Sus scrofa: one gene and its partners. The protein of the gene in region 2 purifies or fractionates together with the protein of the main gene of each other region. This does not show direct contact. Links are inferred from orthologs where the notes say so. Each region holds a gene or a part of one and is shown on either strand. Other genes may lie near its edges.

The links.
Region 1: the proteins of PLK1 (region 2) and SLX4 purify together in Homo sapiens (affinity purification with mass spectrometry; 9 studies listed by BioGRID and IntAct, with this or other methods). This does not show direct contact. The link is inferred for Sus scrofa from reciprocal best matches to the Homo sapiens genes PLK1 and SLX4.
Region 3: the proteins of PLK1 (region 2) and ARHGAP5 purify together in Homo sapiens (affinity purification with mass spectrometry; 3 studies listed by BioGRID and IntAct, counting the BioPlex papers as one, with this or other methods). This does not show direct contact. The link is inferred for Sus scrofa from reciprocal best matches to the Homo sapiens genes PLK1 and ARHGAP5.
Region 4: the proteins of PLK1 (region 2) and FAM53C purify together in Homo sapiens (affinity purification with mass spectrometry; 3 studies listed by BioGRID and IntAct, counting the BioPlex papers as one, with this or other methods). This does not show direct contact. The link is inferred for Sus scrofa from reciprocal best matches to the Homo sapiens genes PLK1 and FAM53C.
Region 5: the proteins of PLK1 (region 2) and FOXM1 purify together in Homo sapiens (affinity purification with western blotting; 5 studies listed by BioGRID, with this or other methods). This does not show direct contact. The link is inferred for Sus scrofa from reciprocal best matches to the Homo sapiens genes PLK1 and FOXM1.
Region 6: the proteins of PLK1 (region 2) and MCM4 purify together in Homo sapiens (affinity purification with mass spectrometry; 3 studies listed by BioGRID and IntAct, with this or other methods). This does not show direct contact. The link is inferred for Sus scrofa from reciprocal best matches to the Homo sapiens genes PLK1 and MCM4.
Region 7: the proteins of PLK1 (region 2) and PPP6R2 purify together in Homo sapiens (affinity purification with mass spectrometry; 7 studies listed by BioGRID and IntAct, counting the BioPlex papers as one, with this or other methods). This does not show direct contact. The link is inferred for Sus scrofa from reciprocal best matches to the Homo sapiens genes PLK1 and PPP6R2.

Annotation. Positions count from the first base shown.
Region 1 is NC_010445.4:38,645,496-38,649,703, reverse strand, and holds the start of SLX4 (structure-specific endonuclease subunit SLX4), read right to left. Parts: upstream 2,801-4,208; 5' UTR 2,728-2,800; exon of another isoform or gene 2,644-2,727; intron 536-2,643; 5' UTR 403-535; intron 1-402. UniProt on the Homo sapiens protein: Regulatory subunit that interacts with and increases the activity of different structure-specific endonucleases.
Region 2 is NC_010445.4:22,548,096-22,552,292, reverse strand, and holds the start of PLK1 (serine/threonine-protein kinase PLK1), read left to right. Parts: upstream 1-1,397; 5' UTR 1,398-2,855; coding exon 2,856-3,263; intron 3,264-3,977; coding exon 3,978-4,146; intron 4,147-4,197. UniProt on the Homo sapiens protein: Serine/threonine-protein kinase that performs several important functions throughout M phase of the cell cycle, including the regulation of centrosome maturation and spindle assembly, the removal of cohesins from chromosome arms, the inactivation of anaphase-promoting complex/cyclosome (APC/C) inhibitors, and the regulation of mitotic exit and cytokinesis.
Region 3 is NC_010449.5:67,495,462-67,498,961, forward strand, and holds part of ARHGAP5 (rho GTPase-activating protein 5), read right to left. Parts: intron 2,423-3,500; coding exon 2,095-2,422; 3' UTR 1-2,094. UniProt on the Homo sapiens protein: GTPase-activating protein for Rho family members.
Region 4 is NC_010444.4:140,337,101-140,340,600, reverse strand, and holds part of FAM53C (protein FAM53C), read right to left. Parts: intron 2,361-3,500; coding exon 1,576-2,360; intron 421-1,575; coding exon 163-420; 3' UTR 1-162.
Region 5 is NC_010447.5:67,244,849-67,249,032, reverse strand, and holds the start of FOXM1 (forkhead box protein M1), read right to left. Parts: upstream 2,801-4,184; 5' UTR 2,651-2,800; intron 87-2,650; 5' UTR 39-86; coding exon 1-38. UniProt on the Homo sapiens protein: Transcription factor regulating the expression of cell cycle genes essential for DNA replication and mitosis. Plays a role in the control of cell proliferation. Also plays a role in DNA break repair, participating in the DNA damage checkpoint response.
Region 6 is NC_010446.5:79,680,465-79,683,964, forward strand, and holds part of MCM4 (DNA replication licensing factor MCM4), read right to left. Parts: intron 2,554-3,500; coding exon 2,415-2,553; intron 688-2,414; coding exon 467-687; intron 9-466; coding exon 1-8. UniProt on the Homo sapiens protein: Acts as a component of the MCM2-7 complex (MCM complex) which is the replicative helicase essential for 'once per cell cycle' DNA replication initiation and elongation in eukaryotic cells.
Region 7 is NC_010447.5:289,528-293,027, forward strand, and holds part of PPP6R2 (serine/threonine-protein phosphatase 6 regulatory subunit 2), read right to left. Parts: intron 1,339-3,500; coding exon 1,223-1,338; intron 377-1,222; coding exon 291-376; intron 91-290; coding exon 10-90; intron 1-9. UniProt on the Homo sapiens protein: Regulatory subunit of protein phosphatase 6 (PP6). May function as a scaffolding PP6 subunit. Involved in the PP6-mediated dephosphorylation of NFKBIE opposing its degradation in response to TNF-alpha.

The DNA of each region.
Region 1 (4,208 bases), about 16 Mb from region 2:
ATACCTGGAGAGTTTGCACAATTGAGCAAAAAGTAGTGTCCACCCTCCATGATGATTTAAAATGTCTTCAAGGAGTTCCCATCATGGCGCAGTGGTTAACGAATCCGACTAGGATCCATGAGGCTGCAGGTTCAATCCCTGGCCTTGCTCAGTGTGTTAACAGATCCAGCGTTGCTATGAGCTGTGGTGTAGGCCGCAGATGCGGCTCGGGTCCCGCGTTGCTGTGGCTCTGGCGTAGGCTGGCAGCTACAGCTCTGATTCCATCCCTAGCCTGGGAACCTCCATATGCCGTGGGAGAGTCCCAAGAAATGGCAAAAAAAGACAAAAAAATAAATAAATTTTTAAAAAATAATAAAATGTCTTCAAGTGGAACCTGGGTTAAACAGCATGTTTAAAGCTTACCTCTATTAAAGTTCACATCTGAGAGGTTCTCTCATCCAGGAGATGCCTCTGAGATAGAATACATGTGACTTTGGTGCTCAGGAGGTTCGCCAAGATCTCCGTATTGATAAAGCACATGTGTTCAATTTTTCACCTGTGGAAAACCAAAAGCATCTGTGTAATTTGGAGTTCCCTGGTGGGTCAAAGGGATAAGGATCTGGCAGTGTCACTGCTGTGGTTATTGATGTGGTTTGGGTTTGATCCCTGGCCCAGGAACTTCCACCGGTAAGGCCAAAAAAAAAAAAAAAGGTGTAATTAGATGTTGTCACTTTATGCTATTTCTTCCAGGAAGGTACAAGAGCATGTGGGGTATAGGGAAAGTCTTCAGGTTAACAATCCCCTGTCAAATACTCAGCTCTAGCCTGGTTAACACTGACTAATCATCCTATAGGGGACCCCAACATGACAGGGGAGAGGGATCCAGAAACCTGTCAAAGCTTCTCCTTCCACAGGCAGAAAAATCTGTGCAACTTTGAAGAGTATAGTTTTTACTGAAACCTGGGGAATGAATCCTATGAAGAGTCATCACACAAACAAGATGACCCCCCAAACCAGAAAAAACTATCTCTTAGGCCCATGCTGGTCCAAGGCCTCCAGCTCAGAGGCTCTATCAGCAAGCAATATAATGAGAGCGAGGGAATGGACACCTGAACACTCAGGAAGATACAAAAGGCTCTTCCTTCACTGATGCCCCCAGTTTTTCCAAATCAGAAAAAGGTTGCTTTTCTCCATCCTGTCACCCCAGCAACTGTCCTGGCTCAGAGCTAGTATGCTGCCCATATGCAAAGATTGGTCCCTATGGGCATGCTTATTTATACTGGCACAGTTTAGGGGAGTTCACAAATCAACACTGAATAACCCAATGGCAGAAAGTTCATTTCAAATGCTACGATGCAATTTCCACTGTCTAAGTAATCCAGTTAATCACCTAGTCTTCCAGAGCTAGGCCTAAAATCTACTTGGCATGGCTAGCTCATTTGCATCTTCCATCTCCTTAGAGAAGCCTGTCCTCATTCTTTATCTAATGGAAAAAGATAAACTAACTGTGTCCTCTTTGCTCCCAGAGAGGATATCATTATTTCTTATCATTGCACATCACTTTCTCAATGGCATTTATCAGCAGGTATAATAATATGTAATAGACTTATTGAAAGCTTACTGAGTGGCCAGGCAGCAGTCTCAGGTGCTTTACAAGTCTAGCTTAATACATACAACAACCCTGCTGGGAGAATCTATTGTCATCCCTCCTTTCGGCTCCACCGCAGCATGAGGAAGTCTGTGGGCCAGGGATTGAACCCGAACCACAGCAGCGACCGGAGCCACACCAATGACAATGCCAGATCCTTAAGCAGCTGAGCCACCAGGGAATACCTGTCATCCTGTCTTTACAGCAAGGAACCAGGCACAAGAATAAAGAATGGGCTCAGGTTCTCACAGCTTTTCAAGTGGCAGGGCTGGGATCAAATCCAGGCAGTGTGGTTCCAGGGCATCGCCTCTTATATTTTTTTGTTCATTTACTTATCTGTCCCCTACTAAGCTCAAAACTTCAGGGAGCACATGCTTATCTTTATTTCATAGTCTCTTTGGCTGACAAGGTGCCGGGCTTGGAATAAGTGCTAGACAATTATCTGTTGAATTACCTAACTGCTGAGTTTGGTACAATCAGGAGCGAAAAAGAGTGGCAGGAGAGAAGGCTGCAGGGAGAAGCAGAGAATCGTGTCCGAGCGTCTGGAACGTCAGGCTAAGCAAACGGTTGGATGTGATCGCTAGAGTAGACTCTGCCCTCCACACTGCTTTGAATCTCCGACTCTGAAAATACTAGTCTAAAACAGTGCTTCTATACAGTGCTCACTCAGTATCTACTGAAGGAGAGCGCAGGTTTCCAGAGGTCTGAGACAGCTTTGTACCTACAGCGGCAGGCGTGCCACAGACGCGGAAAGAATGAATGGGGCAGGTGCGGGCGGACCCCCGCTTCCCTCAACCCAGTGACACACGGGCTGTCCCCTGGAAAAGGGCTGCGAAGGACTCTGGCGCCTATAAAGGTAGACAGCGAATCCCGATCGCCCGACGGACCTCCGGGTCGTGACCCCATAGTTATCCGGTACCCCTCCCCTCTTCCGTTTAGGATGCCCTGGCCCCCTCCACCCAAGCGCGGCTCCTGCCTCTAACCGCATTTAACGGCGGGCGAGAAAGGTTCTTCACCTTCAGGAGAGAAGGAAAGGCCCAAAGCAGTGGGACCTGCTCTCCCGGGTGTAGACTCCCGGCCCCAAGCCCGACTCCTCCTACCTCCGGCGCCGCCGCAGCACCTTCTCAACGGAGACCCGCGCGCCTGCGCATGCGCCACTGGGCATCGCGCGGAGAATTGCGTTTGCGCAGGCGCTGGGCGACCCGCGGGCTCGCTTCCCATCCTGCTTCGCGGCCAAGGGGCGCAGCAGAGCGTTTCCGACCGCGCGAGGCGGGAGGAGGTGGAGTGCCGTGCACGAGGGTCGTGTGGCCGCGGGCCTAGGTGGCGCCAGGCACTCTGAAGTGTTGAGGAAGAGTCAGGGGGAGTTTAGGCTCCTGCCTGGGCTTTAAGCTGAAGTTTGAGTGCACCACGGTTCACACAGGAAACGTATGCGGCTTCATTGGCGGCCCCTTGGAGGGCACCGGCCTGACGAGCCGACGAGTAAACCGAGGCGCCCGACGCAGCCAGACGCAGCGGGAGAGCGTCCTTCTGATGGTTGTGGGCAGGTTGAGGCCCGGAGGGCGGGTTGCCCAGCGCGGGCCGAGGGTAAGCCGAAGCCGAGGCGATGCTCACCCCCCCTCACGCCCACCCCCGAGGCTGGCTCTCCGGGCTTGAGGGGCGCGAAGCCGGAGAGGTTCGCTCGGGCTGAAGTTTGAGAGAAACTGTGAAGTGTATTAAGGGCCTTAAGAGGCACTGGGAGCCGTTAAAGACTTTGTTTTTAAAGAAAGTGCTAGTCGCAGTGTAAAAATTGGTCTGGAGAGGCTACCTCGGTGAAAAGGCTCCTGTATCGCAGGCGAGACATGGCGGTGGCCTGAATTAGGAGTTGGAGTGGAGGGAAGGGACAACTGTTAAGACGACTGAATTATCGTGACCTAGTTAGTGATGGGGGTATGTGGGTTTCTGGCCTGAGCATCTGAGTAGAATGTGGTCCCACTTTCTGATAGTAGTGAATACAGGAGACGGAGTAGGCCCATGCATTTGGCTTTTTTTTTTTTTTTTTTCCTTGCTTAAATATAATTTACAGGAATTCCTGCTTTGGCGCAATGGGATCTGTGCTGTCTCTGCAGCGCTGGGACTCGTGTTCTGTCCCCAGCAGGCAGTGAGTTAAGGATCGCTTGTTGCCGCAGTTGTGACATAGGTTGCAGCTGCGGCTTAGATTCAGTCCCTGGATGGTGAACTTATATATGCAGCAGGTGCTGCCAAAAGAAAATAAAGTGCTGTGAACATCTGTGTATGAGCGTGTTTTTAGTTCTCTTGGGTATATACCTAGTAAGAGTGCGATTGCTGGGTCATATGGTATTTAGTTCTCAATGTTGAGTTTCAGGGAGTTCCTGTCGTGGCGCAGTGGTTAACGAATCCGACTAGGAACCATGAGGTTGCGGGTTCGGTCCCTGCCCTTGCTCAGTGGGTTAATGATCTGGCGTTGCCGTGAGCTGTGGTGTAGGTTGCAGACGCGGCTCGGATCCCACGTTGCTGTGGCTCTGGCATAGGCCGGAGGCTACAGCTCCGATTAGACCCCTAGCCTGGGAACCTCCATATGCCG
Region 2 (4,197 bases):
TAACCCACTGAGCGAGGCCAGGGATTGAACCTGCAATCTCATGGTTCCTAGCCGGATTCACTTCCACTATGCCACACTGGAACTCCCCTAAGATAAACTTTTATGGTTAATGGGATTTACTTTGACTGATTTCAGACTTGTAACAGACATAACTGAGAGCAATACTGCAGGTTGGTCTCACTCTTTCAGGTGGGGGGCCTAATGATTATAATTTTGCTCCAAGGAACACTTGGCCAAGGGCCGAGGGGGGTGGACTGTGCAGAAGAGAGCTACTAAAGCAGGCCTGAGACTGCTCTCCTTAGAAAGACTTGCTCCGTGGTTGGCCCTTGGCTGGCATTTCAGTTCTTGGATTTCAGGAAGGTTCTCACCATTTCCTTAATGATAAAGAGTCGCTCACTGGGCCTACACTGTGCAAACAATGTGGTTTATGCTGTATACCTGCGTTCCCTCCAGGAATCTGGAATTTGGGTGTATGCTAGCAGAGGGCGCCCCCAGAAAAGCCCTAGGAGCTGAGTCTCTAATAAGCTTTCCTGGTAGATGACAGTTCATGCATGTCATCACACTCATTGCTGGAGGAATCAAGTGTGTCCTGTGTGACTCCACTGGGAGAAGACTGTGGGAAGGTGGGGCCTGGTTGCCTCTGGATTTTGTCCCATGCGCTTCTTCCCTTTTGATTTCGCTTCGTAGCCTTTCGCTGCAATAAACCTTAGCCGTCTGTGAGTAGGACTCTATGCTGAGCCCTGGGAATCTCTTAGTGAATCATCAAACTGGGGGTGGTCTTGGGGAGCCCCAACACAGAGCAAAGAGAGACTTCTGGCGTGTTGGTAGTATTCTCTTTCTCAGTCTGGGTGCTGTTTACATGGGGTGTGTTCAGTTTGTGAAAATTCACTGAGCTGTACAGTTAAGATATGTATACTTTTCTGGCAGAGGGAGTCAACTTTATAAAAAGATAAAATGGATATTACACATCACAGGGGTTAAAAAAGAATAACTTAATTAAAAAAACTTATTTAGTAAACATTTTATTTTTTTAAAAGTTTTTTATGATAGTTGATTTACCGTGTTCTGTCAATTTCTGCTGTACAGTGACCCAGTTATACATATGCATATTCTTTTTTTCATATTATTTTCTATCATGTTCTATGACAAGGGATTGTATAGAGTTCCCTGTGCTATACAGCAGGACCTCATTGCTTATCCATTCTAAATGTAATAGTTTATTTAGCAAACTTTTTTTTTTTTTTGCTTTTTTGCTTTTTAGGGCTGCACCTGTGGTACATGGAAGTTCCCAGGCTAGGGGTCAAATGGGAACTGCAGCCACTGGCCTACGCCATAGCCACGTGGGATCTGAGCCAGATGTGCAACCTACACCACAGTTCACAGCAATCTTTAACTCACTGAGAGAGGCCAGAGATCCAATCTGGGTCCTCATGGATGCTAGTCAGGTTCATAACCCACCGAGCCACAATGGAAGCTCCCTATTCAGCAAACATTTTAATCACTCCTTTTTATTAGGCACTATGCTGGGAGCTTGGGACATGGGGTAGGAATGATGTCATCATGCCACTTTGTTTATTGGGAGTCAGGTAAAGAGATACTTGTAATTCGGTTGATTTTTGCTGAGTTCTAGCACAGACATCATAGGATGTCTAACTATTACCAAAGACTACTAACCTGGGTAATCGGCTATTGCAGGGTTTCCGCTCAAACATCTACAGAAGCCAGACAGGCAAATGGGCAAAGGGGTAGCTGGGAACTGTGGCAAACTGGAAAGGTATGTAGGCATAGAGTTGCCACAGCAAGTAGTTTTCCTTAAGAAAAAGCCACAAAACTGATTTTTTTATGTGCGCTCTCTGTATTTTTGAACCTGTAAATGGATCCAAAAATTTAACAGCGGGAGACCAAACAAAACACCTCTGCAGACCAAATTTGGCCTTGGTCTACCAGTTTGCCAGGCATTCCGCCAACCAGCCACACAGTCCCTCTTACCAAACAATTGAAGGTCCACTATTTTAGGCGCTGGGAGACAGCAGTGAGCCAGCCAGCCGACTTTCTTGCAGAATAGCGGGGTGGGGGCTCTGGTTCTGTGCTTCTCAAACTTCCCTAAGTGTAGGACTCACTGGGAGGCCTGCGGTGAGGCCTGAAGCTTTGCCTTTCTAACAAGCTCCCAGGTGGTGATAATGCTGGTGGTTCCTGCACCATACTTTGAGTAGCCTTGAGCTGTAACCCAGAGGCTCGGGAGCAGCTGTTATTTGAAGGAGGGAAGTAGGGGGTTTGTCTTGAAGGTCACATTTGCCTGGCAAGCATCCTCTTTTTACTTAGATTTTAGTTTACTGCAGGGACTTGGAAGAGAGTTGATGACGTCGAAGGCGGGTGTTAAGGCTCTCCCAGCTACCTCTCGGCGCTGCCGGGTCTCCGTTCTCAGTTTATAAGCTCGAAGGCGGGGCAGGGGTGAAGGAAGGTGGTGGGAAAAACTTCCTGGGGGAGGTGCACGTGGACTGCCCGACCTTCCCCAGCCGCCGAGAAAGGGAGAAACCCCGAACTCCCCCTCTCCTGGGACTGGGTCTCAGCATCCCCACGCCGGGTCTGGTTTCCCAGGCATCCCACGTGTCCGCGAGTCCCTGTCAATCAAGCTTCTCCTCCCCGGGCTGGGCACGGGTTTAAAGGAGGCTGCTGCGCAGAGAGCTCCCATAGTGCCGCGCGGCGGGCGGGTTTGGATTTTAAATCCCCGCGGCCAATCAGTAGCGCGTAGGCTTTTGTAACGTTCCCGGCGCCGCGTTTGAATTCGAGGAGGGGCAGAGCGGTGCCAAGCCTCGGCCCAGACCCTGCTAGGTCCGCTGAGCAACTCCGGGGACATGAGTGCGGCGGCAACTACAGGGAAGCTGGCGCGGGCACCGGCTGACCCAGGAAAAGCCGGGGGCCCCGGAGTTGCAGCTCCCGGGGCCCCGGCGGCCGCTCCGCCGGCGAAAGAGATCCCGGAGGTCCTAGTGGACCCGCGCAGCCGGCGGCGCTATCTCCGCGGGCGCTTTCTGGGGAAGGGCGGCTTTGCCAAGTGCTTCGAGATCTCGGACGCGGACACGAAGGAGGTGTTCGCCGGCAAGATCGTGCCGAAGTCGCTGCTGCTCAAGCCGCACCAGAAGGAGAAGATGTCCATGGAGATATCCATTCACCGCAGCCTTGCCCACCAGCACGTCGTCGGCTTCCACGGCTTTTTCGAGGACAACGACTTCGTGTTCGTGGTGCTGGAGCTCTGCCGCCGGAGAGTGAGTGTCGCTGCTGGGAAACTGGAGCTGCCTGCAGGCTGGGGTTGGGGCGTCCGGACCCAGCTGCTGGGGAGGGGACCCCCCGGGACTCGGAGCTGCTGGAGAGGAGGTGCTGGGTGGGAATCTCGAGCTGGAAGTGGAGAAGGTCTCGAGTAGAGAGGGGGCTTGGCACTTGGGGCTGCTAGGGGAGGGGGGTTCGGGTTTAGTGGAGCCCGGGTCGCGTTGCCTCTAGGGAAGGCGGCTCAAGGACGCTAGGAGTTGGGCGGAGTTGGGGAGGCGCGGGTCGCGGGAGAGCCCTGCTAATGGTCTTCCGGAGTTGCTAGGTACGGGGTGCTCTGGACCTTCCGGAGTGGGGTTGGGTCAGGCACAGGGTAGTTGGAGCCAGACTTGGGGGCTTCCGGGGAGGAGAGGGGTCAGAAAAGGGATCTCTTGCTGCGGAAGAGGCCTGGCGAGGGGGTGGCGGGGGGGGGGGGGGGGCATACGGGGTACTCTTGAACTTCCTGAAGGGTTGAGAGAGGAGTCCCAGGTAAGGGAGCTGGTGGGAGAGAGGGCGCTCTGAACCGTTGTGGCCTGGCTTAGGGGAGAGTGGAGAGCATAGCTGTCCTGGAGAAGGACTGCTGGGTAGGGTCCTAGGCAGCTTTCACCTAATGATACTGCTTCCCTGCCTTGGGCCTGAGTACCCACTGCCCGTTCCTCCTTCCTCCCCTCGCCAAGTCTCTCCTGGAGCTGCACAAGCGGAGGAAAGCACTCACCGAGCCCGAGGCCCGCTACTATCTGCGGCAGATCGTCCTCGGCTGCCAGTACCTGCACCGAAACCGTGTTATTCACAGAGACCTCAAGCTGGGCAACCTCTTCCTGAACGAGGATCTGGAGGTGAAAATAGGTGAGGAGCTGGGCCTGCAAGGGCGTTTGACATTGCAGGAAGTGGGAATGA
Region 3 (3,500 bases), on a different chromosome or scaffold from region 2:
TCACATATTACAATAGCAAAGTTATGACCAAATGAACTGAAGACATGAACAATTCTGAAAATTCTCTTTTCAGCCTTCTTCTAAAAGAAATAGTCAGGCTTTTTTCCTGTACATAGTTTTGAGCTTTGTCTATACCATATATAGAAAAATAAATTCTTTAGCAATCTAGAAACAGTTTATAAAACTCTTAAAGTTTAATTTTCTTTGCCAGACATGCCAATGTTAAACTGACAGCTATAAATTAAAGCTATATAGACAATAGGTATAAGTAATATAGAACAAGTTAAGAATACTACATTTACCGGATTTTTCTTTTTAAAAATTACTGTACTTTCTTAATTCCTGTGTGCTTTGCAATAGGAATAATAGGGACTTTGTTTTCTTAGAAAAGATAATAACATGTAAGAGTATAACACAAATAAGATAATTTATAATATACATGTACTTCAACAGCAGCCTGGTTCATGTCAACATCTTGATTCTGAAGTTAAAATTAGAAGTACAATACCTAGGACATAACAGTTGGGAAAGACAGTATTTATTTTAGGAAAAACATGGAGCAAATCAAACTCTTAGGAGCCTCAAATCTCAAAATCATCTATTTACTATAGTACATATAAGACAACCTTAAAATTGCAGTATGAATGAAGATTACAACATGGACCAAAGAATTTTTTCTTTACTACACAAAATATAACCTAGCAACAAAAAACAAGCCTTTTTTTTTTCCCCCCCCTTTCTGGGGAAAAAAATGGCATGGTTTGATAATGAACAAATTTTGAATAAGGCCTAACAAAATTTACCTATGCCACTTATTCCGAAAATTTTATTCATTAATTTAGTGTTCTGGTGGTAACTTCACTGACAAAATATTTAATCCCCAAAGCAGCAGTCATTTACAGCAAATCTGGTACCAACATTAAAGGAAAAAAAATTGGTTTAAAAAATGGTGTAAAAGCCATTTTGGATTTTAGTACAACATTATCAAAGAAAAGAATATGAATACAGGTTTGCAACAATATATGTACATACTCCAAAGAGGCTGTCAGTACCCAAAGTATTTTTATTGCTATATTAGCAATGGATTTTGGGATATGGTTTTAAGGGCCACATAAAAATAGATTCAAGGGACAGATTAAATTGAAGTCCTAGATTAAAATGTTTGGTTTAAAGAATTTTCTACAACAAATTTCATGTTTATGTATGAAAAGTTATATAACCTTATATGAAAATGTCATGAAGTATTTTCTACACTACTAAATGTATTTCCCAAGAGGGAAAAAAATTAAAATATCTAAAATATATTAGATTAAGATTACAAGACCATAATAGATCTTTTGAACATGCATCTGTTTACAGAATTAACAGTATACAAGATGTTTGTTTCATTATGGACTATAAAGAAATGAGTTGGTGACAGCTATCCTTTGCACAACATTATCAACTCACTTTAGCCACAAGCATGTCCTTGGTATGTGTGTATAAGAAATGTTCATTTACCCCCATCAAATAATCCATAGGTTTACTTAGAAGATGAAGGTGCAAAAAGGTTAAGTGTATTTTTCCTTCTTTCAAATAACATCCCAAGCATGGCATAAGTAGCCTGAAATTAAAAAATACTTAACTGGGATTTTAGTTATCTACACAGACTGCTAAAAGTAAATTAAGTTGCTCAAATTAGCACATCATATAACAAAACCAGCCATAAAGCAGGCTGAAAAGCATTAAATGTTTCATATATGTGAATTTTTAAATCATTTAATTTCTATAGAAAAATTTTATTCACAATATAATGTGACAGAAAATGCCACAGGAATGATATACTGATTGCAATAAGGTTGCATGCAACAGCAGCTTTGTATTTTATAGCTATTTTTGTTTATAAAAATTAAACGTCTCCAGTCATGCTTATCACATGGTATTAGATTTGCAATGTAAATGAATAAGGAATACCATATATTTCAAAGAGAAATGTCTCATCATTTTGAATGTGAATTACCTGTAAGAAACATGAAGTATACTACTGAACCCTGAAACATGCATGTCTAGATTTGCTTTTTGTCCAATTTCAGGCTGTCTGCAATCACTTCCAACTTATATAATACCAAGAGGATCTGTCTGTAACTGTGGTTGTATCAGCTGAGGTTGCAATGGTGGTGGTAACTGAAGCGGTACCATTGGTTCCACCAATTGTCCTGGGTTTGAAGGTGGTGGAGGAGCCACAGTGTTCGCAGTTTCCACAATCTCTCCATTGTAAAAGAAAAACTGACACTGCTGAATGAATGTTTCAACAACAGACTGATGGATCTTGGTGGTAGACAGAAACTCTCGATTTTCAAAATCAGGTCTCATCAAAGTTGGCCAAAAACAGATGGATAAGTTGTCTGCTGTCATTAGGTTGACTTTATTTTGCTGACTAACTCTGAAATTATAAGAAAAAAAACAAATAAAAGAGTCAAAGCTCAGTGCAATTAAAGAATCCAAGAGCTAGATATTATTTTAGATGATTTAGTTTTACCTTTTGTTAATCTTAACTTCAAATTTAAAACTTTTTCTTCTTGTGCATTCCATGTTCAACTACATTCTCATAACAGAAGGGAGCAGTAGAATTCATTCCTTATGAGAATCAAAGATGGTCTTTACTTGGGAAAAACTATTATATTCTCTAACCAGGATACTTTTCAACTTGCAAAAACAATTAATTTCCTAGAACTCCAAAAAACAATCTTTCCAATCATTAAGTACTCTGTACATTGTTACAAATTTAATTTCAATGACAAGAGTTCAGAGAAACACATACTCATATGATTTAAAAATAAATAATTTACAAATGAACATATACTATTAACTACTTTACATCTAGGCCTTTAAATATGTGAGCAGGAGTTCCTGTCGTGGCGCAGAGGAAACAAATCTGACCAGGAACCATAAGGTTGTGGGTTCGATCCCTGGCCTCGTTCAGTGGGTTAAGGATTCAGCATTGCCATGAGCTGTCATGTAGGTTGCCGATGGGGCTGGGATCCTGTGTTGGTGTGGCTCTGGTATAGGCTGGTAGCTGTAGCTCCAAATAGACTCCTAGGCTGGGAACCTCCATATGCCATGGGTGCAGCCCTAAAAAGCAAAATAAACAAACAAACAAACAAACAAACGAGCAAGCACTACCTGTAATAAGCAAGAAATATAAGAAGCAAATCGTGAATTATAAATTATTAAATTGGGAGGAAATAAGTATTTTATCCAACCCTCTCATTTCACACAAAAAGAAACAGCCCAGTATACAAGGTAGGAAGAAAATCTTACACTTAAATTTACATTATCAAAAATTTAAAAAGTAAACCAAAAGACCCCCAAACACAATAGTTGCTCATCTGAGGTAAAATATGTGCTCTAAAAACATGTGTTCTGTCACAAAAGTTATTAGTATTTGTTGAGACTAAATGAGAATATTCAGAATAAAATCAACTTTTTGTTAAGATTTAGCATATGATGGGGCCCAGTCA
Region 4 (3,500 bases), on a different chromosome or scaffold from region 2:
CATGGTCGAGCTTCCTGGAGCGAGAAGATTTCCGGCTGCCCTGAGTCGGAGCCCTCCACTCACCCCCATTCCCAGGCTGGGCCCCGGGCCTTGGGACCTCGACACTTGTTAGTAGCCATAAGAGAGTCAGTCTGTGTGGCCCCAGGAAGCAGCCTCTCAGTTTTAGTTCTCCTCAATCAGATTCAAGTCCAGGTCCCCAAAGTCCTGCTGGCACAGTGTCCGCTTGCTCAGCGCCTGCCGCCCCCACCGCACGGCCCCCTCTTCCTCCTCTTCGCTTTCACTCAGCACCTGGGAGGAACCCCCAATGGGGCTGCAGGAAGCAGAGAGAGGCGGGGGGCTACAGGCCATGAACCACGGTGGAGAGTTACTGCTGCCTTCCGGGGCTGTTTCTTGGAGACAGAGACCTCCTGAGTATGGTTTCTGTCAAACAAACAAACAAAATTAAAGCAAAGAAAGACACTCACTTCCCAGAGAACCCTGGCCCAGAGTGCCTTGAAGGCAGGAGTCCTAAGCATTAGGGTGAGGTCATGACCTCCCTGATAAAATTTGGGATATTTGGTATACATGCACATTTCTTTGAAGAAAGAGCCCACAGTTTCTATGAGATTCAAGATTAGAAGCAGGTTTAAAATCTTCACATGGGAGTTCCCGTCGTGGTGGGGCGGAAACAAATCCGACTAGGAACCATGAGGTTGCAGGTTCGATCTCTGGCCTTGCTCAGTGGGTTAAGGAGCTGGTGTTGCTGTGAGCTATGGTGTACGTCGCAGACGCAGATCTGAGGCTTCAGCAGCTGTAGCTCCTATCAGACCCCTAGCCTGGGAACCTCCACATACCGCAGGTGCGGCCCTAAAAAGCAAAAATCAATTAATCAATAAAATCTTCACGTGGGCAGGAATGCTGTCTGCTTATTCCACTACTGGATTGCTAGTGCCTCCTCAGAGCCTGCTACATAGCAGGTATTCAATATTGTTTGCTGACTAGTTGAATGAATGATTCTATGAATGAGTGAATAGGTTCTCACTTATTCGAAAAGGTTTGCAACCCAGTAATTTAGAAGGAAGAACATGGAAAAAGTGGGCAAGTGCATACAACAACTGCACGCACACTGGGAAGTCAAAAACATTTGTTGGGCAGATGAATGATGTAGCAGACTGCCATGCTTAAGCCGTCACAGACCCACAGCAAGCAGCGAAGGGCAAGGGGTAAAGCCAGCCATGTGTGAGGAGGGTGGGGCACTGATGATGGAGCTTTGGTAGCTCTTGCCTTCTCAGAGAGGAGCCAAAGTGCCTCTAGCATGACAATGTGGGATCTCTGTTGGAAGGTTTAACAGAGGTCTCATCCCAAGTTTCTCTGGAACCCCCCAGGACTGAGGCTTTTCACAAGACCTGGGACCTTCAGGGCTAAAACCGGGATAGTCCTGGGTAAATGGAGACAGAACACCCTAGCAAAAAGCTCAGAGAGAAAGGAGCTCCTGGGGAGACCCAGGAAGGGCCCAGAGCTAGAGGACAGCACAAAAGTGAAAACGGAACAGTGCCCCTACTCCCATCCAAGCCTCCCTGGTCCTGCAGGTCCCACCTGATTCATCTTGTCAAAGTCCAAGGAAGGCCGCAGCCGCCGCGGGTCCTCCTCATGGCGCCGCTTGACCCCAGCTTTTCGGGCATCAAGATCGCAAGGCTGTGAGCGGCTTCGGGGAAGATTGCGCAGGCCTCGAGGTCGCCAGGGCAGCTCCGGGGAGGATGCGGGGGAGCTCCGGGCAGAGGGCAAGAAGCGGCTTGCCTGTGGGCCCAGGCTGGGCGACAGGGAGAAGCGGCGCTGGGGTGGGCAAGGTGACAAGGACTCAGCATCACTCTCCCAGGAGCCACTCTGCGGGGAGGCAGCAGAGGGACGAGAGGACTCTTGGGCCAGGGCCAGGCTGAAGAAAGGGGGACTGTAGGGTCTGTGGGCTGGGGCACATTGAGAAGAGGCACTGGGAGCTTGGAGGAACCTGAGGCTGGAGACCCGCTTCGGGGGGCTCTGGTGAGGCACCTGCGGCCCACCCCCTCCACCACTGCCCCGGTGCTTGATGGGAGTCCACAGCTTGGAGGGGGCGGGCCGCCACACCGGCTGCCAGCGAGACAGGTCCACGGGCACTGAGAGTGAGCGGCAGTGCCTCTTGGACGGAGGGGCAGGGGGCACAGGAAGCTTTTCTGGGTCTGGGGGCTCAGGGCTTAGGACTTGGGAGAGGGGCTGCTCCTGTAGGGAACTTCCCGGGCTGGGTGGTCTGAGGTGCAGGCTCAAGCCTGAGGGATGGTAACTGAGGTTGAGGCTGTCCTGGAACTCGGCACAGGAACATGGGGGCAGACCCCTCCAGGAAGCACCTTCTGGAAGGCATTCAGAATAAAAATTAATATTAATGATAACTAACATTTTTATTTTTGTCTTTTGTCTTTTTGTCTCCCATGGCATGTGGAAGTTCCCAAGCTATGGGTTGAATTGGAGCTACAGCTGCCAGCCTACACCACAGCCATAGCAACTCAGAATCCGAGTCGGGTCTGCGACCTACCCCACAGTTCACGGCAACGCCAGATCCTTAACCCACTGAGAGAGGCCAGGGATGGAACCCACATCCTCATGGATACTAGCCAAGTTCGTTAACCACTAAGCCAGGTTGGGAACTCCTGTGATAGCTAATATATTTTTAAAAGCTTACTACGTGCCACACAATGTAATGAGTACTCTATGTGACATGTCTCAAAAATCTCATGAGTTAGGTTCTATAACTACCCCCATTTCACAGATAAGAGAAGTTCTATAACTTGCCAAAAGTCATGTAGGAATCAAATGACCAAAGCAGTATTCACACCTAGATTTGTCTGATGCCAAAGCTAAGTCTTTTTTTTTTTTTTTTTTTTTTGTCTTTTCTAGGGCTGCACCTGCAGCATATGGAGGTTCCCAGGCTAGGGGTCTAATTGGAGCTATAGCTGCAGGCCTACACCACAGCCACAGCAACGTCAGATTTGAGCCACATCTGTGACCTACACCGCAGTTCACGGCAACACCGGATCCTTAACCCACTGAGCGAGGCCAGGGATAGAACACCTGGAACGTCATGGTTCCTAGTCGGGTTCATTAACCACTGTGCCACGACGGGAACTCCTAAACCTAAGTCTTTTAAAAATTTTTTTTATTTTTTGTTTTTTAGGGCTGTACCCGCGGCATACAGAAGTTCCCAGGCCATGGGTTGAATCAGAGTTACAGCTGTGAGCCTACACCACAGCCACAGCAATGCCAGATCCGAGCCGAATCTGGGACCCACACCACAGGTCACAGCAATACCAGATCTTCAACCCACTGAGAGGGGCCAAGGATCAAACCTGTGTCCTCATGGATACTAGTCGGGTTTGTTACCACTGAGCCACCAGGGAAACTCGCTCAAGCTAGGGCTTTTAACCACTGTACTCTACTGCCTCCTTTATGAGAAACCATCTGAAACTGAAAACATAGTCTCATATATCGTCTGC
Region 5 (4,184 bases), on a different chromosome or scaffold from region 2:
CTTTTGAGAATCAGTGGCCGACGGGGGCTGGTTTTCATTATGAGTCTGTGCTTTCACTCTCCATTGAGAAATCACAAGCATGGACCCTGGAAAGTGCAAGAAAGAGCAGGATGTCAGAGATCTGTTAGGAGGTTTTGTTAGAGAGGGGTGTTCCTCTTCATGACCAGGAGGGTAAGCCATGGGCCCAGGTGAATGGTCCCTGGGCCTCTGTAAAGACTAAAGACAACAGGAGCTGAGTTCTACGGAAGCAAATAGAGGCAATTCAAAGTGAGATTGAGTTAGTTGTAGGTCAACATAGCCAAAGGTCTGGAAGCTTAAGAATGTTTGGCAACAGGAGTTCTTGTCGTGGCTCAGTGGTTAATGAAGCCGACTAGGAACCATGAGGTTGAGGGTTTGATCCCTGCCCTTGCTCAGTGGGTTAAGGATCCGGCGAGGCTGTGAGCTGTGGTATAGGCTGCAGACGCGGCTCAGATCCCGAGTTGCTGTGGCTCTGGCGTAGGCCGGTGGCTACAGCTCCGATTAGACCCTTAGCCAGGAAACCTCCATATGCCTCGGGAACGGCCCAAGAAATGGCAAAAAGACAAAAAAAAAAAAAAGAATGTTTGGCAACAGATACAAGTAGGGGAGCTACAAAAATGTGGAAATGCCTATTATTGCCTACAATAATTCAGATCACTTGCAGTGACTGTAGGGGTGGGAATGCTAGAATGGACATTCTGATAAGTCCCTGATCCCATAATCCATTCTAGTCTGGAGCATTTACATATATATATATATATATATTTTTTTTTTTTTTTTTTTCCAGCCCCAACTGCAGCATGCAGAAGTCCTGGGCTAGGGATCGAACCCAAGCTACAGGAGTGATGACACCAGATCCTTAACCACTAGGCCACCAGGTAACTCTCCTATATTTCTCTCTCTCTTTTTTTTTTTTTGTCTTTTTGCTATTTCTAGGGCCGCTCCTGTGGCATATGGAGTTTCCCAGGCTAGGGGTCGAATAGGAGCTATAGCCACCGGCCTACGCCAGAGCCACAGCAACTCGGGATCCGAGCCGCGTCTGCAACTTACACCACAGCTCACGGCAACGCCGGATCCTTAACCCACTGAGCAAGGGCAGGGACCGAACCCTCAACCTCATGGTTCCTAGTCGGATTTGTTAACCACTGTGCCACGATGAGAACTCCTCTCTTTTTTTTTTTGATCTTTTTAGGGCCCCACTCAAAGCATATGGAAGTTTCCAGGCTAGGGGTTGAATTGGAGCTACAGCTGCTGGCCTACACCACAGTCCCACAGTCACAGCAATGCCAGATCCTTAACCCACTGAGCGAGGCCAGGGATTGAACCCATGTCCTCATGGATGCTAGTTGGGTTTGTTACCGCTGAGCCACAACGGGAACTCCCTCTTTTATATTTCTTATAATATTTCACTTTATAAATTAAAGGATCTGTGCCCACAGAATCAGAGGAAAAAGGCAAATTATCCGTTGCACTATTGTCACACCACTGAAGGAAACATCTCCCAGTTCATGAGACCTCAGATAAAAGGGAAACTGCCCCCTTCAAGGCTCAGGGTACAGTTGTGCAGATCATGGCTGACATTCACTTAACAGGCTATTATCCTTCCACTGATTTAGGAAAAAAAAAAAAAAACATTTTCCCCACAATTTGCAAAATATTTATATGGAGACATTTTATAACTTGTAAGTACTTATTCATATTTTGATTTTCTAGGCATGCGACTCGATTAACTTTCAGAATCAAGACCATAATCCCTCTCTCCTAATAGAATGTGCTACCATCAATGTGCCCGGTGGTTCTGTAATGTTAATGGAAATCGGTTTTATCTTTTAAAAATTGTGTTTTGTTGATTTTAACAGATCCATGAATACTCTACCATAATGTAGAGTTGTGTGATTCTACTGAGAGGTGCTTTGAGAGACAGAGGAATAGGTTGTCTCTTTTTTAGGCTATCTGCAATCTCCCTAAAAATGATTGTCACACTCATATGACATTTGCCATCTGCTTAGAAGTCACAGACCTTCTCCACTCTGCCTCCTCCCTTTCCTTTACATCTAGGTTTCCTCTCCCTTCAAATCTCAGTTTTACCTCCACCTCCTATCTCTTCTGGCCTTCCTCCCTCCACCCATCAATCAGAAGACACTAGTACTGGCTTCCTACCCCTCACCCCAGGATATCTTTCAGGTCTAAAGTTTAATTTTCCTTTCTATTCAGACCACCCTCTACCTCCAATGGCCAATCCTTTCTAGCCCGGAACGGCTCCCGCGACCCCCGCGACCCGACCCCCATCCAGACCACATAGGACAAGGGTCTCCAGGACCGCGAGGAGGGCCCTGGGAAAGGGCGGGGTGGAGGCAGTGCAGCCTAGTGGTGAGGGCACCTGGGCGCAGGGACTGGGAGCTGGTCGGTGTCGGTTCTAAGCGGAGTGGGCTCAGATGGATCCCATCCGCCGTCTGCCAGAGCGAGCAGGCCGCCCTTCCTCCCAGGGAGGGCCCGGGCCGCTCCGCGAGAGAGGTGAGGAGGCCGGGAGGTGGTGCAGAAGCGCGGTGCAGCCCCGCCACCTCCCGCCGGAGCCGGCCCTCCGCGCCGTCTTGCCGCCGGGCCCCCGGGCCTCCCTCCTGCCGCCGCTCACCTCTCTGCACCGTCAGCTCTGGGCTCCCGGAGGCTCCGCGCTGCTCCCACCTGCAGGCCGGGCCGCGTCCCCGGGCTGCGGGGTGGGGAATCCCGGGATCCCGCCGCGGGGGGGGGTGTTGTCCCGGGCCGGGGCCGGGGGTGGGGTCCCGCTCCGGAGCTTTCAGTTTGTTCCGCTGTTTGAAATTGGCGCCGGCGGAGCGTTGCGGTCACGTGACGGGCGTGGCCAATCGGCGGCGGCCTTGTTTCCGCGATCCGCCTAGTCGTCTGGGCGGGCGCTGCGGTCCAGCCCGGCAGGTGAGGTTGCTCGGCAGGCGGGAGAGGCCAGTGAGGTGGCCCCGCCGGGCAGTGAGGTCGGCGGAGCGGCGGCGGGTGAGGCAGGTGAGCTGGGGAGTCGGGACCGCCGGCGAAGCCGCGGCGGGCGAGGCGGAACCTAGAGGTGCGGGCGCGCGGCTCTTGGGGAGGGCGCTGGAGGGCTCCGCTGCGGCGGGACGCGGGGACACTGGGTATCACGGGCAGGCCCCGCAGCCCTCCGGGCCCTGAGCAGTCGCCGCCCCGGGATCTTACCCCCTCAGCGACTTCCCAGCTGGTGGAGGGGATGGGGGAACTGTCCTCCGTTGACCTGCAACCAGCGACCGTCCGGAGCCCCTACCGGCCTTCGGGCTACTTGGGCGCAGTTGTGACCTTGTTCAAGCTCCCTCCTCCTCAAAATTTACATACAGGCCGCAAACTCCGCCTCGGCTCTGAACCTTCAATCCAAATCTCGTCCCCGGCCCCATGCTATCGTTTATATGTGGTAAATTACTTTATTATTAACTTAGGCAACACCTAAGTTTAGTTGAGCACCCATTGTGCACCAGGCGGCGCTAGGATGCAGTGGCAGAGGGGCCTTTCTCCTGAGCTTAAGGTCTGATGGGAGGAGAAAGAAGACATTTTCGAAGCAAATTACCTATTTAAACAAATGGAGAGTTCAACTGTGAGGTGATAAATTAGAACTCGGGGATCACATTGAGTATCTCCAGTAAGAGGATCTGGCCTTAAGGGAGGTGAGAAGAGCATTTCCCAGGAACTCATGCTTGGTCTGTGATCTGATACCTTTAGGCAAAGGTGGGAGGGAGACCCTCAAAGCAAAGGGTGGGAGGTGCTGCAGGGCAGTGTGGTAGGAGGGGAGGAAGGGAGGTCTGCACAGAGGCTGAAGCGTCTCTGAGGAGTGTGAGCTAAGAGACCTGTGCAGAGTGCGTGTGAGATGAAGCTGGAACCAGAGCCTCAGGACCTTAGCCACCACTGAAAAGTTTGGCCCTTACAGAGAATCAAAACATGTTAAGCAGAAGAGAGTCAGGATTAGATTTGCAGTTTAAAGAGTTCACGGAGGGGTGTGCCTGAGTAGGCCAGTTAGGCTATTGCACTGCCCTAGGCCAGAATTGTTGGAACTTGAAGGGTGTGGGGGCCAGAGGGAGTAGGAGAAAGAGGAGTAGGGTAATGTTATTATTTTTCACAAAGGATTACTTTTATCAAATTTTGGGTTGAACCTAATA
Region 6 (3,500 bases), on a different chromosome or scaffold from region 2:
AGCTTGATCTGAAAGAGCCGTGCAGACCCTCAAGACAGGCCGCGCCCTCCCCGCTCACAGCTATTTCCACCTCCTTGGGAAGATTTTCACATTAAACCTGCTATGGAATAAAGTGTGCACGAGAAGCCGGCACACACTCTCAGCCCAGTGGCTGCCGGGTCACCCACCTGCCAGCTGACAGACTTAGCCTCCACGTTTGGGGACCTTCAGGTTTTACATGTGCCTGCCTGATGGGCTAGAGACTCTCCAACCTTAGTATTTCCCACAGAAGCATCTCATTAAATTTGACTTAATCACAAGTGATGCTAAACTGAGGATGCTCCCTTACAGAACCCCTGCCCCTGGCAAGACCCCAGAGGAGCACCCAGGGCCCGGCCCAGGCCTCTAATGAGCCCGCCTGCCCCAGAGCAAATGAAGTGCGGTTTCAGGGGTCCGGAGTGGAGAGGGCATGTGGAGGGGCACGCACCATCTGCTTGTCGGAGAAGACGGAGCGGTTGTGGATGAGCGCCATGCTGTGGGTGGTGTGGCAGCGCTCGCAGGTGCCGGGCTCCGCAATGCGGCCTCGGTCTATCTCCACCCGGGCCGTGTGGGCGCACACCTGGCACTGGAAGAAGGCCTCCTGCATCTCGGGGATCAGCTGGGACGTCCTGATCACCATGCCGCTGATGGCAATGAGCTGGTCGATGTCTGCAGGGTGGGGAGAGGGCAGCTGTCCTCTCTGAGCTGGAGCAGACGTCCAGCCAGGAGGGCCTCAACTGAGGTGTCGGGATGGCCAGGGTCACAGAGCAGACGTCTCGCTGGCTACCCTGGGGTCTGGCCTCAGACACGCTTCCCGTGTCTGGCTTGCTCCCCCCAACCCCTTAGGTCCACTTACCCGTGCTGAGCTGGGCCAAGCAAAGGCTACCTGGAGATGTGGGCCCCAGGATGCAGCCGAGAGCCATGCTTGTGACCATCTCCTACAGTCACAGGGGCCATCCCCACGTCAAACACCATTGCTTGTCTGTTGTTTCTTTGCTGGGGCCCTGTCCCAGGCACCCCCATCTCTTCCCTCGTCTGCCTCCTGTCCAGCTCCACTTTTTGCCTCCATGCTTTTGCCCATGTTGTTCCCTCGCCTGGACCTCACTCTTGCCACACGCGGGGACCCTGGCTCCTAGTGAACCAGGTAGGCGGGTGGGCTGGGTGGGGTTCCCGTGTGCCCTTGGGAACAGGCTGAGCCTCCGCAGCCTCACCCATGGGGCAGGAGTCGGGCCCCCCTGCTGCTGAGGACTAGCACCCTGCAGAGAACCACCTTCCCCACAGCTGAGCTTCTCAGGCCGCCAGCTCTCACCAGGGCTCACGTGGCCTCTGCCATCTGGTGCCCCCCCAACCTCCTGCTCCCTCCCACCAACCCTCCTCTTCTTTTAAAATGTAGCTGTTGTGATGGTTGGATCTCTGGAAGTTTCTTGACTTCCACAACCATGGTCATTGCCAACCTCCCTGGAACTTGCCCTTTAGTAATAAAGCAGCCCAGCACCCTCATCTGGACAACTCCTACCCACCAGGGTCCCTCCACAACCTCCCAGTGTGGGGATGGTACCAGAGTCAAGTTCCCAAGGGAAAATATGACTCTTCCTTCGTAAATGGCCAAGTCCAATATTTGCTGCTGTTTATTGGTTGTTTCGCTTTTACTGAGATTTGCGCCTTTAGCACATTTACCTACAGGAGTACTTGCTAATTTCCTACAGCTTTTATACCTCACTCAACCATCACATCTGCCCTGTGTTTTCACTCCTATAGGCACCGTCCATGGTGGAGCATCCTAACTGCACTTGAACATACCCTGCATACTCAGGAACTTCTCAGGAGAAATTCTTTCTCCTCAGAAAGGATCAATGGCTCCCCACTGGCTTAGGATTAAAAGCCTAAGCTCCTCAGGCCCCACCCAGACATCCCTGCTGCAGCCATCACGTCCTGTCTGAAGTCTTGCTTCACTTCTGCTCACATCCCTTCTTTCTGTCTAGAGTGAAGCCCTTAGGTCTGCTTCCCAATCCTTCCCACTGGACCGGCACTGCCTCTACTTGGGCTGAGACTTACCCACCACATGCTTCTGCCTCTTCCACCATTTCTTCTGTAAGCTTCAGGGCAGGGACTGCATTTTATATTTGTTTTCAACACTGACCCTGAATTTAGAGAGCTACCGAGTTATGGTATCTTTTTTATGGTTTTACTTTAGGTAACAATAGGTATGGTGGATCTAAAAGCTTATGGGTGACTGGATCTGTCACTAGGTCTTGTCAATTTATAGCCCACAACCAATGCTTTTAAAGTTCCTTGATGAGGTTTTTGTTTACTTTCACATAAGGTATTTTCCTGCTATTAAAAGTGTTACCCTCTATATGTCATCTCTATCTCAGTAAAAGTGGAAGAAAAATCACCTTCTGGATTCAGGTTCCTCATATTCTTAGTCTTCAATGCATTGAATGGTCTTACTTGAATCTGATGTTCTAAGATCGAGTCAGGATAACGGTCAAAGAAGATCTCATTGACAGCCATGTCGAAAGTTGGGATAACTTCCTTTAAAAACAAACATAATGCAGGCTGTGTTTGTGTTCTTATTTCAATATATTCTTATTTTTTTATTTTTTGTCTTTTTAGGGCTGCACTTGTAGAATATGGAAGTTCCCAGGCCAGGGGTCAAATTGCAGCTGTTGCTGCCAGCCTGCGCCAGAGCCACAGCAATGCAGGATCCAAGCCACGTCTGCGACCCACACCACAGCTCACAGCAATGCCAGATCCTTAACCCACTGAGCGAGGCCAGGGATCAAACCTGCAACCTCATGGTTCCTAGTCAGATTCGTTTCTGCTGTCCATGATGGGAACTCCCAATATAGTCTTAAATATAATAAAGCAACTCATGTTAGCAAAGCATCAAAGCAAGAAACAAAAAAACCCCACAAAAACTCACAACCTGCATAATCCAAAAACGTTACCTTGTAAAATCACAGACATGCTGTTTACAAACCCTTGGGCACCCTGAACTCTCTCACCTCTGCATATTCCCACTTGAGTTAAATAATACCAGACAGACAATAGTGCCTTCATGGAGTTCCCTTGTGGTGAGGGTTCGATCCCTGGCCTGGGAACTTCTGCATGCCATACCCAAAAAAGTTGCCTTTATGATACTGTAGTTACATGAGCTTAGTAATAGAACCTCATCCTCTCATGACTTACTTTTTCTCTATAACAAAATGATATCAAAATATTCATTCAAATTTTTTAATACCTATTCCCCATTTTGCAGATAAGGAAACAGCCTCTTGGAAGCTGAGGAACTGGACCAAAGTCTCAGTTACTTAGCAGCAAAATCAGGATTTAAAACCAAGTCTGGGAGCCTTTTCTCGAGGTTACCTGAGCTGCTACCTCCCAGGCTTAAGTCCTAATTTCACCCCAAATAAAACTTAGCTCTCAACTTAAAAATAAAGCAAAACCAAGTGTACCTGCCTTCAAAGCCTCAAGCTAGA
Region 7 (3,500 bases), on a different chromosome or scaffold from region 2:
CACACACACCTGCTGAAGGGACAGCTCGTTGGGGAAAGCGGCCTCCACGTCCTCATCCTCACCTGAGGGGTGCAGGAGGCGGGTGCTCACCTGCAACAGCCAGGGCGGCGGGCATGAGCCTCCCTGTGCGGTGCACGGGGCCCCGCGCCAAGCAGCCCCACGGGCACAGGCCAGGAAGGACCGGGGGGCCAAGGGGCCCCCCTCTCGACCGGCCCGGGGCCAGAGGCTCCACCGCACGCTCTCGGCTGCGGGGTGCACGTGAGCTGTCTACAGACGCGGGGGCTGCTCACCAGGTCCACCGCGTTCCTGCGGTTGGCCTCGGTCAGCGTCTCCTCCACGAAGCTCGCCCAGCGCCCACGGCAGTCCGCAGGGAGCCCTGCAGAGAAGGCCATCCGTAAGCCCCAGGCACAAGGGGGGCATGGGGTGCGGCCACACCCCTCCCTCCCCGCAGGCCCCATGGCACCTACCCGGGCCTGGGGGCCCCTGTTTTTCTGGGGCGGTCGGAGCCTCGGAAAGACCCACAGCCCAGAAACAGGGAGGAAGATCGTGGCCAAGGGCTCCCCGCTCGCTCCCACCTCCCCAGACCCAGCTCTGCCCGGGACCCCCTCCTGCAGGTGCAGACCAAGGGGCTGCCCCCGCCCAGCCCCACCGATGGAGGCTCACGGCCGAGACCCCCACGAGGGCAACTAGGGGAGGCACAGGTGTGGGCCCATCATGGCCACGCCGCCGCACACCCAACCTTTCTGTCCGCCCGCAGGGCGGCCCCCTCCACCGGCACCTCCGCACCTGCTCCCTAGCAGGCCCCTGCCTCGGCCCCAGGGCCTGAGCCCCGAGGCACCCTGCCTCCCCAGCAAGGCCACAATCCCCTCCTAAGCTGCTGCCTTCTTGTGTCTGAATGGAGGTGCCTCAGGCCCCCAGCTCAGCCCAGGAGGCCGGGCACCCAGAGCTGCAGGCTGTGCCCAGGACACTCCAGGGCTGGGAAGGGCGCGGGTGGCCGCCCTCGGGTCTGGCAGCCGGGGCAGAGGAGGCCTGGCCAGGGCCCGGCGCCACTCTGGGGAAGAGCCCCCTCCCCCGCTCGCAGACGGGCCCCGCGGCCAGAGAAGAGCTGGTCTCTTGGCGTCGGCCCCGCAGAAGCGCGCCCGGGGCCCCCAGGGCTGCCCTGTGGGCAGGCAAGCCCACGGCCCGGGCACCAGCCGGCAGCCCCAGACGGCCGCACGCTCACCTCGGATGACCTCGCTGACGTGGGTCTGCATGGGGCCCCCCTCGAGGTTCTGCACCACCGCGTTGGCGATGCGCGTCAGGTGGCCCATGTTTCCGCGCCTCATGCCGCCCGCGGCCCTGGGGAGACGCGGCGTCAGGCCAGGCGGCCCCGCGGCCCCAACAGGCTACCGCCCCGCCAGCCTCCTCATGGCCTCACTGTGGGACACCAGCTCCATGCCTGCGTCACTTGCAGGTCACCACCGAGCAGTGACACCGGCAGCCGTGGCGGGGGCTGAGGCCACAGAGCCCGCACCCACCCCCGCGGCCTCCAGACCAGCGCCCGGGCAGTGCTCCTGCAAGGGCCGCGGGCGTGTGCCAAGCTCCTAGGGGAGCCCGGGGACAGACCCAGGACCTGGGAGTGGGCAGAGCACGGGGCAGCGGTGGGGCAGGCCTGTCCCTGCCCTGCTCACGAGTGCTCCGCGCCCAGAAGCGCAGGTCCTGGCTCCCGTCCGTGGTGCCGCACGCCCCACGTGGCCGTGAACACACAGCTCTCCCTCGATGCAGCACCTGGCCCACGCGTGACCCAGCAGAACAGCAAGCCTCCCCCCACAGGCCCCGGGAAGAGGGTCCTGCCAATCTTCGCCCCTGGGGCCCGGAGGGGAGAGGGCGCGCTTTCAGCTGTGTTCCCCGCTCAGAGCCTGCCACCCCCAGGAGAGGAAGCAGGGGTGGTCCTGAGTCCAGGGCCAGCCTGGCAGAGGACGGGGGTCAGCGGAGGCTGGGCGGGACCGGCCCCCAGGTGGAGCTGGGATGAGGGTGGAGGCCTGTGACCAGCTGGCCAGGATGCAGGAGAGCTGGACCGAGGCCGGCCAGGGCCCGCGTCTGGAGGCATCCAGGCTCACAAGCCTGGCCACAGGCTGCCGTGGCTCAGGGACCCCTCGGGGACAGCGGCCGGCCCTCCCCCGACACAGGAACACACACGTGTGCAGCAATATGCCTTCCTGGGCACCACGTGGACTGCACCCAGGGGAATGCCAGGCGGCCCCGTTCTCTTGTTGCTACTTGAGAGCAGACACAACCTTGTGGGTCCTACACTTGGCGGGAATGTAAACTGGTACAACCACTGCACACAGGAGAATGGAGCTTCCTCAGAAAACAGTATCAAGCCACCATATGACCCAGCAAGCCCACTGCTGGGCATATACCTGGACAAAACTTCACTGAAAAAGACACATGCACCTGCATGCTCACTGCAGCACCGTCCACAACAGCCAAGACATGGAAACAACCTCAATGTCCATCAACAGATGACCGGAGTAGGAAGATGTGGTATCTATACACAATGGACTACTACTCAGCCATAAAAAAGAACAAAATAATGCCATTTGCAGCAACATGGATGGAACTAGACACACTCATATTAAGTGAAGTAAGTCAGAAAGAGAAAGACAGGAGTTCCCACTGTGGCACAGTGGAAACAAATCCGACTAGGAACCATGATGTTGTGGGTTCGATCCCTGGCCTCGCTCAGTAGGTTAAGGATCTGGCATTACTGTGAGCTGTGGTGTAGGTCACAGATGTGGCTTGGATCCCACATTGCTGTGGCTGTGGTGTAAGCCGGCAGCTGTAGCTCTGATTCGACCCCTAGCCTGGGAATCTCCATATGCTGCGAGTGCAGCCCTAAAAAGCAAAAAAAAGCCAAATACCATATGATATCACTCATACCTGAAATCTAACACACGGCACAAATGACCCTTTCCACAGAAAAGAAAATCATGGACTTGGAGAACAGACTTGTTGCCGAGGGAGAGGGAGGGACCGGGGTCCGGGGTTAGCAGATGCAAACCATCGCACTGGGAGCAGATAAGCAATGAGGCCCTGCCGTACGGCACAGGGAGCTATATCCAATCGCTTGCGATGGAACGTGATGGAGGATCATGGGAAAAGAGACCGCACGTATTTGTATGTATAACTGGGTCACTTCGCTGTACAGCAGAAACTGACAGGACACTGTAAGTCAACTATAATAGGAAAAATTAAAAAAAAAAAAAATTGTGGGTCCAGTCCTAGCAGGACATGAGGGGTGAACTAGGTGAGGTTGGAGAGAAGCAGAAGCGGCCCTGGGCAGAGCGGGGCTGGGGCTGCCCACGGTGGACCCCGCGGCCACACTGGGGACCTGGGCCGTTGCAACTTTCAAGCAGGGAGTGACACGACCTGTCGGTTTCAGAAAGATCCCAGCCGATCCCCAGAGGAGAGGCCAGGTGGGGCGATAAGAACACAGGAGGTGTCTTTCGAGGGCTCAG